2 linked regions of the Coturnix japonica genome follow. Each later gene encodes a partner of the first gene's protein in a complex. Links are inferred from orthologs where the notes say so. Each region holds a gene or a part of one and is shown on either strand. Other genes may lie near its edges.

Region 1 (4,327 bases):
CCAGACTCTCCCGGCACAACATCAGCGAACAGAGGGGGGAATTTCATCATGTGTGCCCATTTCAGCACAGGCACCAGCGGCAAACGCTCGTCCAGCAAGTACACGGCAAACTGAAAGGGGGCAAAACTCAGCAGGGTGCCCCCCACCTGCATCCAAACCAGATGCACGAGGTGGGTGGGGAGGTCTGGGGACACTGAGCCATGGAGGACTCACCTGGGTGGCAACGAGGTACTGGCAGGGGTGAGCCCTACCCAGGTACATGGGCAGTACCACGCGTTCACCCTTCTGGCACTTGGCTTCCTCACCCACCTTGAAGAAGTTGAAGTGGCATCTAGTGGGGGCCTGCAGTGGCATAACAGGGTGCTGTCAGCACCATGGGGCTGACATAGGTCACCCCACAGCCCACCCTGAACCCCGTTCTCATGCTCACCCGAGTATCCAGGCACAGGATGCCAGTGCGGTCAGCACAGCTCAGCACCCGCGGGTGAGCAGTGAAGTCACTCCAGCGCCAGGGTGAGTGGTCCCGGAAAAACAAGGTCTGGGGGTCATGGCGGAGCCGCTGCAGCCTGTAGGGAAAAGGACAGAGCTCTTCCTTGCTGTGGGGCACCCCTGCCTCCTGCAGCACCAAACACTGGGGATCAGAGCCCCAACTCACCCTGTCTCTATGTTCCATAGATAGACAGCTCCACTCTGCGTACAGACTGACAGCTCCCCAGGCAGGTGTGGGCTGTGGGGCAGAGACATGGCGTTACATTGGAAGGCTTGTAGCTGAGGACCTTCCCAGAGCTCTGTATTCCCACCACACACCTGACGGTGAGGCAGGAAGCTGGCACATCAGTGTGGATGACCTGCAGTGAGCTGGGGGCAGCCCCTGTCTTGCCTGACATCCTCCAGACACCACAGTAATAGTCAGAGCGAACGCCAACAAAGTCTAGTAGGAGACAGGAGAGAGGGCAGATGAGAGAGCAGGGATGCCACTATCTCTGTATGCAGTGCACATGTCCCAGGGCTTACTCACCCTGCCCATCCACCCGGGCAGCAGCTACTTGCCGGATGCGCCCGTTGAGCTCAAACTGCACTGGCAACCCCTGGGCCCGCGGCTGCTCCTCCAGCACCACATTCTGGAAATCTGGAGTGCAGGCTAAGGGCACTGCCACACAGTGCTCCCCTGTCCCAGAGTCCCCCAAGTATCATAGGAAAGGATACAGAGGTGGTTCATGGCCAACCCGCCAGGGTACACCAGGCATCCCATGTCACTGCTTGCATCCTGAGGGGGCAGCCAGGCTAGTGCTCCCCCTGTGGAACTGTCATCGAAGAGCAGTCTGGTCCACTGTAGCAGCAGCTCTTCATGCACGCAGTCGGCCAGCAGTCCCAGTGGCACCTCAAAGAGCCAGTCCCGGCACAGGTGAGAGAACAAGCGCAGGTGGTTGGCATACGGATGCCGAGGGCAGCCACTGTGAGGGGACAATCAGTGCCAGGTAGGTGTCGGAGCCCACCGCCCTCCCAACCCAGCAGCACTCACCGCCTGGCTTCCATATTGTTGATCTTCTTCACCATGGATGTCATACGGATGGTTGTGTCCTTGGCACTGCCTTTCTGCAGGGAGGAGAGAAGTGCCACTATGAACAGAAAGGAGGGGGTACACCAGTGCCCCCCTCAGCATCACCAAGGACACTGACCCCGAGGCTGTAGTCTCCCAGGTGGAAGTTGTTGTGCAGCAGCTGCCCCAGGGAGCTGAAGGCGTCCTCAGGATGATCCACAAAGAAGTGCCCTAGCTGCGTGGGGACAGCAGTGTGGGGCTGTGCAGTGATGTCATGGTGGAGCTCAGCCCTGTCTCCTCAGCAGCACCCAAGCCCTGTACCTGCTTGGCAAAGTCCAGCGCAGCCCCAGACTTCCCAGTCTGCAGCTTTCTATGCAGGACACCGTGGTAGAGAATATCCTGAGCGGTCACACTGGGGACCGAGCAGCCTGTGAGGGGGCAGGGGGCGGCGGGGGGGGGGGGGGGGGGGGGGGGGGGGGGGGGGGGGGGGGGGGGGGGGGGGGGGGGGGGGGGGGGGCTGCCGAGTGCGTCCCAGCACCAGGTGGCAGCCCCATTCTCAGCCCCCCCTGTGCCCCCTCAATCCTCACCCACGTTGGGCGGCAGCAGCGGCACCGCCGCGGGCTCAGCCGGCGTCCAGCTCTCCCCCTCGTGGCTGCGGAGGGGCACGAACGGCGGCAGCACCTGCAGGGACAGCGGGGAATGGAGGTGAGGGTCAGTGCCCCCTCAGTACCCTCAGAGCCCCCTCAGTACCCTCAGAGCCCCCTCAGTGCCCACAGAGCCCCCTCAGTGCCCACAGAGCCCCCTCAGTGCCCACAGAGCCCCCTCAGTGCCCTCAGAGCCACCTCAGTACCCTCAGAGCCCCCTCAGTGCCCTCAGAGCCCCCTCAGTGCCCACAGAGCCCCCTCAGTGCCCACAGAGCCTCCTCAGAGCCCCCTCAGTGCCCTCAGAGCCCCCTCAGTGCCCTCAGAGCCCCCTCAGTGCCCTCAATACCCTCACTGCCCCCTCACTCATTGCCCCCCAGGCCTCCCCCATCCCGTTCCCCCGTTACTCCTCACCTGCCGCCGTCCAGGCCCGGCCTGCAGCACCTCTTCCCGCTCCCCCCATCCAGCGGCCGGAGCCGGACGCCCCTCGTCCCTGGTGGGGCCGGATCCGAAGTAAGAAGGGAAGAGCACGCCCGGGAACTCCATGGGCGGTACCGGGGGCGGTAATGGTGAGCCCGGTACCGGATCCGGACCGGAAGTGCTGCGCACGCGGTCCCGACGCGGTAGGAAGTTGGATGACCGGGAAGGGCGAGGCCTAGAGTGCGACAGCGCCCCCTAGCGTGTGGGAGGTATCATGGCGAGCAGAAAGCGGGGCCGCGCCGGTTGTGAGTGACAAGCAGAACCGCCAATAGGAAAATTGGGGAGGGAGAAAGGGGGCGGGACGGATGACGTCATGGTCGCCCCTGCGCGGCGGGGCTGCTGGAGCCGCGCGCCCCTCGGCAGCCGGCGCGGTGGGATGGGGCGGCGGGGCGGCGGGCGGGGGCGGCCGCTCACACCGATACCCCTCCTCCGCCTGCCCCTGCTGCTCCTGCCCCTCCTCCTCCTCCTCCTCCTATGGCCGCCGCCGCCCGCCGGTGAGTGTCGAGGGGCCGAGGGGGTCGGGGAGCTGAGCGCTGCGTGGGGGATGGGGGTGAGGAAGGGGGGAGGTGTGTGCTTGTATTAATGGGGTGAGGATGGAGCGCAGACCGTCCGCAGCATCTGCCCGCCGTGGGATGACAGTGTGTGTGATGGGGTGCGGGATGTGTGTGCAGCGAGATGTGGGGTCAGTGTGCAGCAGGGCACGTTGATGTGTGGGGTACCCCACATTACACCATGCAACTGAGTATAGGGTGCGTGGGCAGTGGGGCAGGACGTGTGAGCACAATGGGGCATATTCATGTGTGATGGGAGATGGCAGTGGGGTGTTGGCATAATGGGACATGGAGATGTGTGTTCGGTGGTTATGCTTGACAATAAGCAGGCTGTGGGGCACGCGTGCAATGTGGTACATAGGGAGGGCTCAGAGGTGTGCGTGCTGGAGGGACACAGGTGGTGTAAGTGCACAGGGACACCCAGAGAGAGGGGTCAGACTCATGGTCAGGGGTTACGGGGATCTGCAATTGCAGCGTGTCACCTGGACAGAGGGCTGTGAAGTGGGGCAGCAGGGATGCATGCAGTGCGGGGGATGTGTGTGCAGTGAGGATGAGTGGGGGGACACTGGAGTGAATACGTGATGAAATGAGTGTGCTGTCGGGCTCTGGAGCTGCCTTCATTTGGGGGCTGCGGAGGGGTATGCGGTGTTGTGTATGGGGGATCACGGAGGAAGGGGGCCGAGCTGTGGAGTAGAAGCGCTATGGGGCCCTATGGGGCGGCTGGGGGAGCTGTCCGTGGTCCTGAGCCCGACATCAGGTGAGCTGTCCGTGGTACTGACCCTTCTGGGAGAGGAGGTCGCCTCTCTTCGGCCTCTGGCCTGGGGCAGAGGCGCTCTTGCTTTTCTCCTTTCTCTCTTTCATAGATAGGAAATTCTGTTCCATCTTCCTGCTTTTCTGCCTGTGCTGTGGCCTCACTGCCGCAGGGCTCCAGCCTGACTCTCCCTGTGCACCTGTGTGCCCTCACTTTACCTCAGATGAGTGGGCTCCAGGAAGTGTAATGGGGTCAGGAAGCTCTGCGTGCTTTCCCCATGCCATGTCCTGGGAGCACGTTCACCATCTCTTTCTCTTTGAGGTCCACTGCCAGTTCACTGACCCCAGCTGGCAGGGAGCTTCGG
Region 2 (4,284 bases), on another chromosome or scaffold:
ATGTAAGTGACAGCACAGCCCCAGACTGAACTCTGCTACACATGGTAATGGGCAAACCAGTCTGAGCTCTAAAGTTTCACCCTTGTTTACAAGCTAGAAAATTACACAGTGATCTCTTCTTACAAAGGATTGTGCAAGTTCCTGTCACCTATTGTCCCCCTGGGCAGCAGGCAGAACTCTGTGAGCATTTGCAGCAGGCGCTCCCTCAGAGATCTCCCTTTAAAGCATCTTTGAAGACAGAAAGCATGAAGAATAATTAAGGATATTCCCTAAAGGTGCTGAGGGGTTAGACATAAGGGAAAGAGAAGAACTGGACAGCATGATTTATTTATCTGTGATGTTTGCTTACTTACGCCTTGCCTGTGGCCTGAATTTCTCTCGGATGTAGGCATCTCCTGCTCGGCAGACCTCAGCAGGCCGAAGATGGGGTTTAGCTGGCAGCTTGCTTGGCTGATGGCACGGTGGGGAGGAAGCAGGAGGCGCGAGCACTTGTTCTTGGCTGGAGGTAGGGTGGCATTGGAGGGGCAGAGAATCTCCCCCTGGAGAACAAACCCAACATATTGATGTCAGATGCAGAGGAGTCTGGGCAAGTGGCCCCAGCCTACCACCAGCAGAAGGTCATAAAACCATAAAATGGCTTAAGTTGGAAAGGACCTCAAAGACCACCCTGTTCCAACCTCCTGCCATTGGTAGGGCTTCCATCCACCAGGTCAAGCTGCTCAACTTGGCTTTGGGCACCTCCAGAGGTGGGGCACCCACAGCTTCTCTGGGCAGCCTGTGCCAGCACCTCACCACCCTCTCAGTGAAAAATTTCTCCCTAATATCTAACCTAAATTTCCCCTCTTTTAGTTTAAAGCCATTCCCCCTTGTCCTGTCACCATTACGCAGTGTAAAAAGTCCATCTCCATCCTTGTAAGCTTCCCTCAAGTACTAGAAGGCCGCAGTGCAAGCAGCAGAGAGCGTTCAGCACAGTGCTGGGGAAGGAGTGCCAGGTGGGAAGCACTCACGCCTCAAACAGTCCATCAGGAATCGCCTCTGGAAACTCGTCAGCTTCGACTCCTCCATCAGGGCTAAAAAACAACAGCTACGTGTTACTACACAGCACAGTGGGCTGCCCCGGCCCCGCAGAGCCCAGGACACGGCCCAGGACAGGACCCAGGACAGGATCCAGGACAGAGCCCAGCACAGGGCCCAGCACAGGACCCAGGACAGGGCCCACAACCGCCTTCCCCGAGTCCCCGCGGCCTTCCATCCCTCATAACCCGTTACCTCTCAGCACCTCTCGTGTCTCGGGGCTGTACCGGGCTCTGCCTCTTCCCGCTGGCCTCGTTCCCGTCGATAAGGCCATGGCTGGTGGCGACGGTGGGAGAACAATTAGGGACAGCGGGGCAGGCGGAGCCGCGTCCTGTCTCTGTGGCAACGGCGCCGCCGGTTTACTTCCGGAAACGTGACGTCACGGCGCACGACCGGAAGTGGGTAGTACTTCCGCCGGGGAGCGAGGAAACAAGATGTCGGACAACGAGGACAAGTGAGAGTGGGGCTGAGGCTGAGGCTGAGGCTGAGGCTGAGGCTGAGGCTGAGGCTGAGGCTGAGGCTGAGGCTGAGGCTGAGGCTGAGGCTGAGGCTGAGGCTGAGGGCTGAGGGCTGAGGGCTGAGGGCTGAGGGCTGAGGGCTGAGGGCTGAGGGCTGAGGGCTGAGGCTGAGGGCTGAGGGCTGAGGCTGGGGGCTGGGATCAGAGATCAAAGCCTGGACTTAGAGACGGTCCAGCGCTAAGTCCGAGTCCAGGCGCTGTCTCCCGGCCTGTGTGCGATGTGTGCTTGCCTGTCTCTCACAGCTTCGATGGGGATGACTTCGATGATGTGGAGGAAGACGAGGGGCTGGATGACCTGGAGAACGTGGAGGAGGTGGGTGCTCTGCGGGGCTCCGATCATGGATCATTCCGGGTCATGGAGTCAGCCCGTAACGGTGCTGTGTCGTGCTGTGCTTTACCCAGGAGGGACAGGAGAACGTGGAGATCCTCCCCTCCGGAGAGCGCCAGGCAGCGAACCAGAAGCGAATCACCACCCCCTACATGACCAAGTATGAGAGAGCCAGAGTGCTGGGCACACGTGCCCTCCAGATCGCGTGAGTATTAGCTGGATCCCTGCTGTAGGACTGTGTGCTTCTCATGGCTTGACCTGTTAAAGCTCCTTCCTTTCTCCCTAAAGCCTTAAGTGATTCTTTACCTGGCGGTTCCGCTTGGGAATCGCCATCTCCATCAACAGTGAAAAGCAATAAAAAGCAATACTGTGAGCTGTCAGCCACACGTGAGTTCTGAATCTCACCCCAGCTGATGCTGTGGGTCACAAGCAGATGGAGTGGGTAACGTGGCATTCTGGTTCTGCTTTCTGCCTTCTATAAGGCAGCCAGCATGAGCTGGGAAACTCAGAACTACTACTGCAAAGTTCAGCTTTGAGGAAGCTGAATAAAAGTAATAAAGTAATATCATTAATTATTATCACAAGGCTATCAGAACTCTAGGAATGGCACAGCTGTCTTGAAATACTAAGCATACGGTTATATTGTGGCACACTGTATGTTCACTAACTATTTGGAATAGTGGAGCATCACTTCTAATAGGTAATAACATTTAAATCCTCTTTTAAGCACTCCTTAAGACAAGTTCCTCTCAAATTCTTCCTTTTATCTGTCCAGATCTGTTTTAGTAATGCCTGCTAAAACCTTTGTGATCTTTGAGAAACTGCTGTGTAAGTGAGATGATTAGGCTGTGTTGAAATTGGTCTGAAAGGAATCTTAGCTACATCCACCCTGAAAATGAAGCTGATTCGATTACCACCAATGAGCTTCTATGTGATCTTTGCTTAATCATCACTTTGCTGAGCTATTCTTCGCCTGGTTATCACTCCAGGAAGGAATTCTGTGCATGTTGTTTCAACTGGTGGCAGGCCAGAAGGATGGAAGAGATGGGATGAGCCAGTGCCAGGCATTTAATACAAAACACTGGTGCCTGGTCTCTATCACCTCCGTATTCTGTTGACTATTGATGTTGACTCTAGGCCAGCAGCAGCCCCCCAGTGGCTTTACCCACACATAATGTGAACTTCTGTTGCTTCTGCTGCCACCTGAGACAGTTGTCAACTGTGTTTGCTTTACTGTTACAGCCCTCACCAAAACGCATTTGTTTTTTTGCTCTAGAGATAGAGTGCATTATAAATCTAGCCCTTTGTTTTCCTTTGAAGGAAGCCTTGAAGATTCAAGCAAGTCAGATTCCCATTTTATAGTGTTCCAACTCTATTATTTTTAATTTTAGATCTGCCCTTATTCTTCACATATAAGTACAGCACAGTGAGACTAGACAGGTGTGGTTCTGACCAGCACTCAAGTCCCAGCTGACTTGCAGAGGATGAGGGGTGGATTAAGAGCATTCAAATGAAAACTCAATCCGTAGCCACTTGGGGATAACCTTTGTCCCAGAGTGGATAAGAGTGCAGCATGCAGTCATATGTTGGCCCTTCTGTCTTTCTGTACATTCTCTGAAATGGCTGTTGCTGTTTGTCCCAGGATGTGTGCACCCGTGATGGTGGAGCTGGAAGGAGAGACAGACCCCTTGCTGATTGCCATGAAAGAACTCAAGTAAGTCCCAGCCTTAGGCAGTGTATGTATTGTTTTCTACAAAGCAAGCTATCCTCTGCTTATCTCAGCACTTTACAACTTATTCCATGCAGTATATTCTAAGACAACCTTCTTTTTTTATCAACCACGGTGAGTTCTGCAGTTTCCTTCCACTTTTCCTCCTTGGACCTTCTCCACAGCTTCTCCCATCCTAGGAGTTCTTGCTGATGATGAGCAGTGCTCTGACCTCTTTTTATATAAGAGTCATTTCTATGATGAGAACCAAAGATCCCCATAAGGAATCAGTTTAATTCTCTGAAAGGAATTAATTTGAAGCAGCCTTCTGAACAGACCTGTGCTCAGATGAATTGCTGACTTAAATAAACAAAACTGGGGTCAGGGTGGTGATGTGGAGACTCTGGTCAGAATGTTGTTTCACTGCACCCTTCTATACTTGGCTTATTGTGCTGGCAGGAGACGCACCTCTTGCATACAGAGAGATTGATTTGAACCTTTTCTGGCAGTTTCTGGATCACTGCTTAGAGGCCCACAGCAGAGTGCCCTGGTGGCACACAGTTTGCCAGTGTAGAAAGCAGGTTACTATGTTGCATGCAGGTAATCTTCAAGCAGAGTAACTGGATTCCTTTACATACTGGGTTCTCAAATTGATTT

The links.
Region 2: TAF1C (region 1) and POLR2F share a complex: the UniProt entries of both Homo sapiens proteins name them as parts of the pol I pre-initiation complex. The link is inferred for Coturnix japonica from reciprocal best matches to the Homo sapiens genes TAF1C and POLR2F.

Annotation. Positions count from the first base shown.
Region 1 is NC_029547.1:8,327,062-8,331,388, reverse strand, and holds the start of TAF1C (TATA box-binding protein-associated factor RNA polymerase I subunit C), read right to left. Parts: upstream 2,820-4,327; 5' UTR 2,728-2,819; coding exon 2,596-2,727; intron 2,222-2,595; coding exon 2,128-2,221; intron 1,969-2,127; coding exon 1,862-1,968; intron 1,776-1,861; coding exon 1,680-1,775; intron 1,597-1,679; coding exon 1,523-1,596; intron 1,455-1,522; coding exon 1,207-1,454; intron 1,130-1,206; coding exon 1,019-1,129; intron 932-1,018; coding exon 808-931; intron 728-807; coding exon 656-727; intron 567-655; coding exon 431-566; intron 343-430; coding exon 214-342; intron 111-213; coding exon 1-110. Other genes in the region: TMEM8B (transmembrane protein 8B), read left to right, coding at 2,975-3,155. UniProt on the Homo sapiens protein: Component of the transcription factor SL1/TIF-IB complex, which is involved in the assembly of the PIC (pre-initiation complex) during RNA polymerase I-dependent transcription.
Region 2 is NC_029516.1:46,598,817-46,603,100, reverse strand, and holds the start of POLR2F (DNA-directed RNA polymerases I, II, and III subunit RPABC2), read left to right. Parts: upstream 1-1,411; 5' UTR 1,412-1,508; coding exon 1,509-1,528; intron 1,529-1,834; coding exon 1,835-1,904; intron 1,905-1,993; coding exon 1,994-2,124; intron 2,125-3,561; coding exon 3,562-3,633; intron 3,634-4,284. Other genes in the region: C1H22orf23 (UPF0193 protein EVG1), read right to left, coding at 354-539, 1,008-1,070, 1,270-1,348. UniProt on the Homo sapiens protein: DNA-dependent RNA polymerase catalyzes the transcription of DNA into RNA using the four ribonucleoside triphosphates as substrates.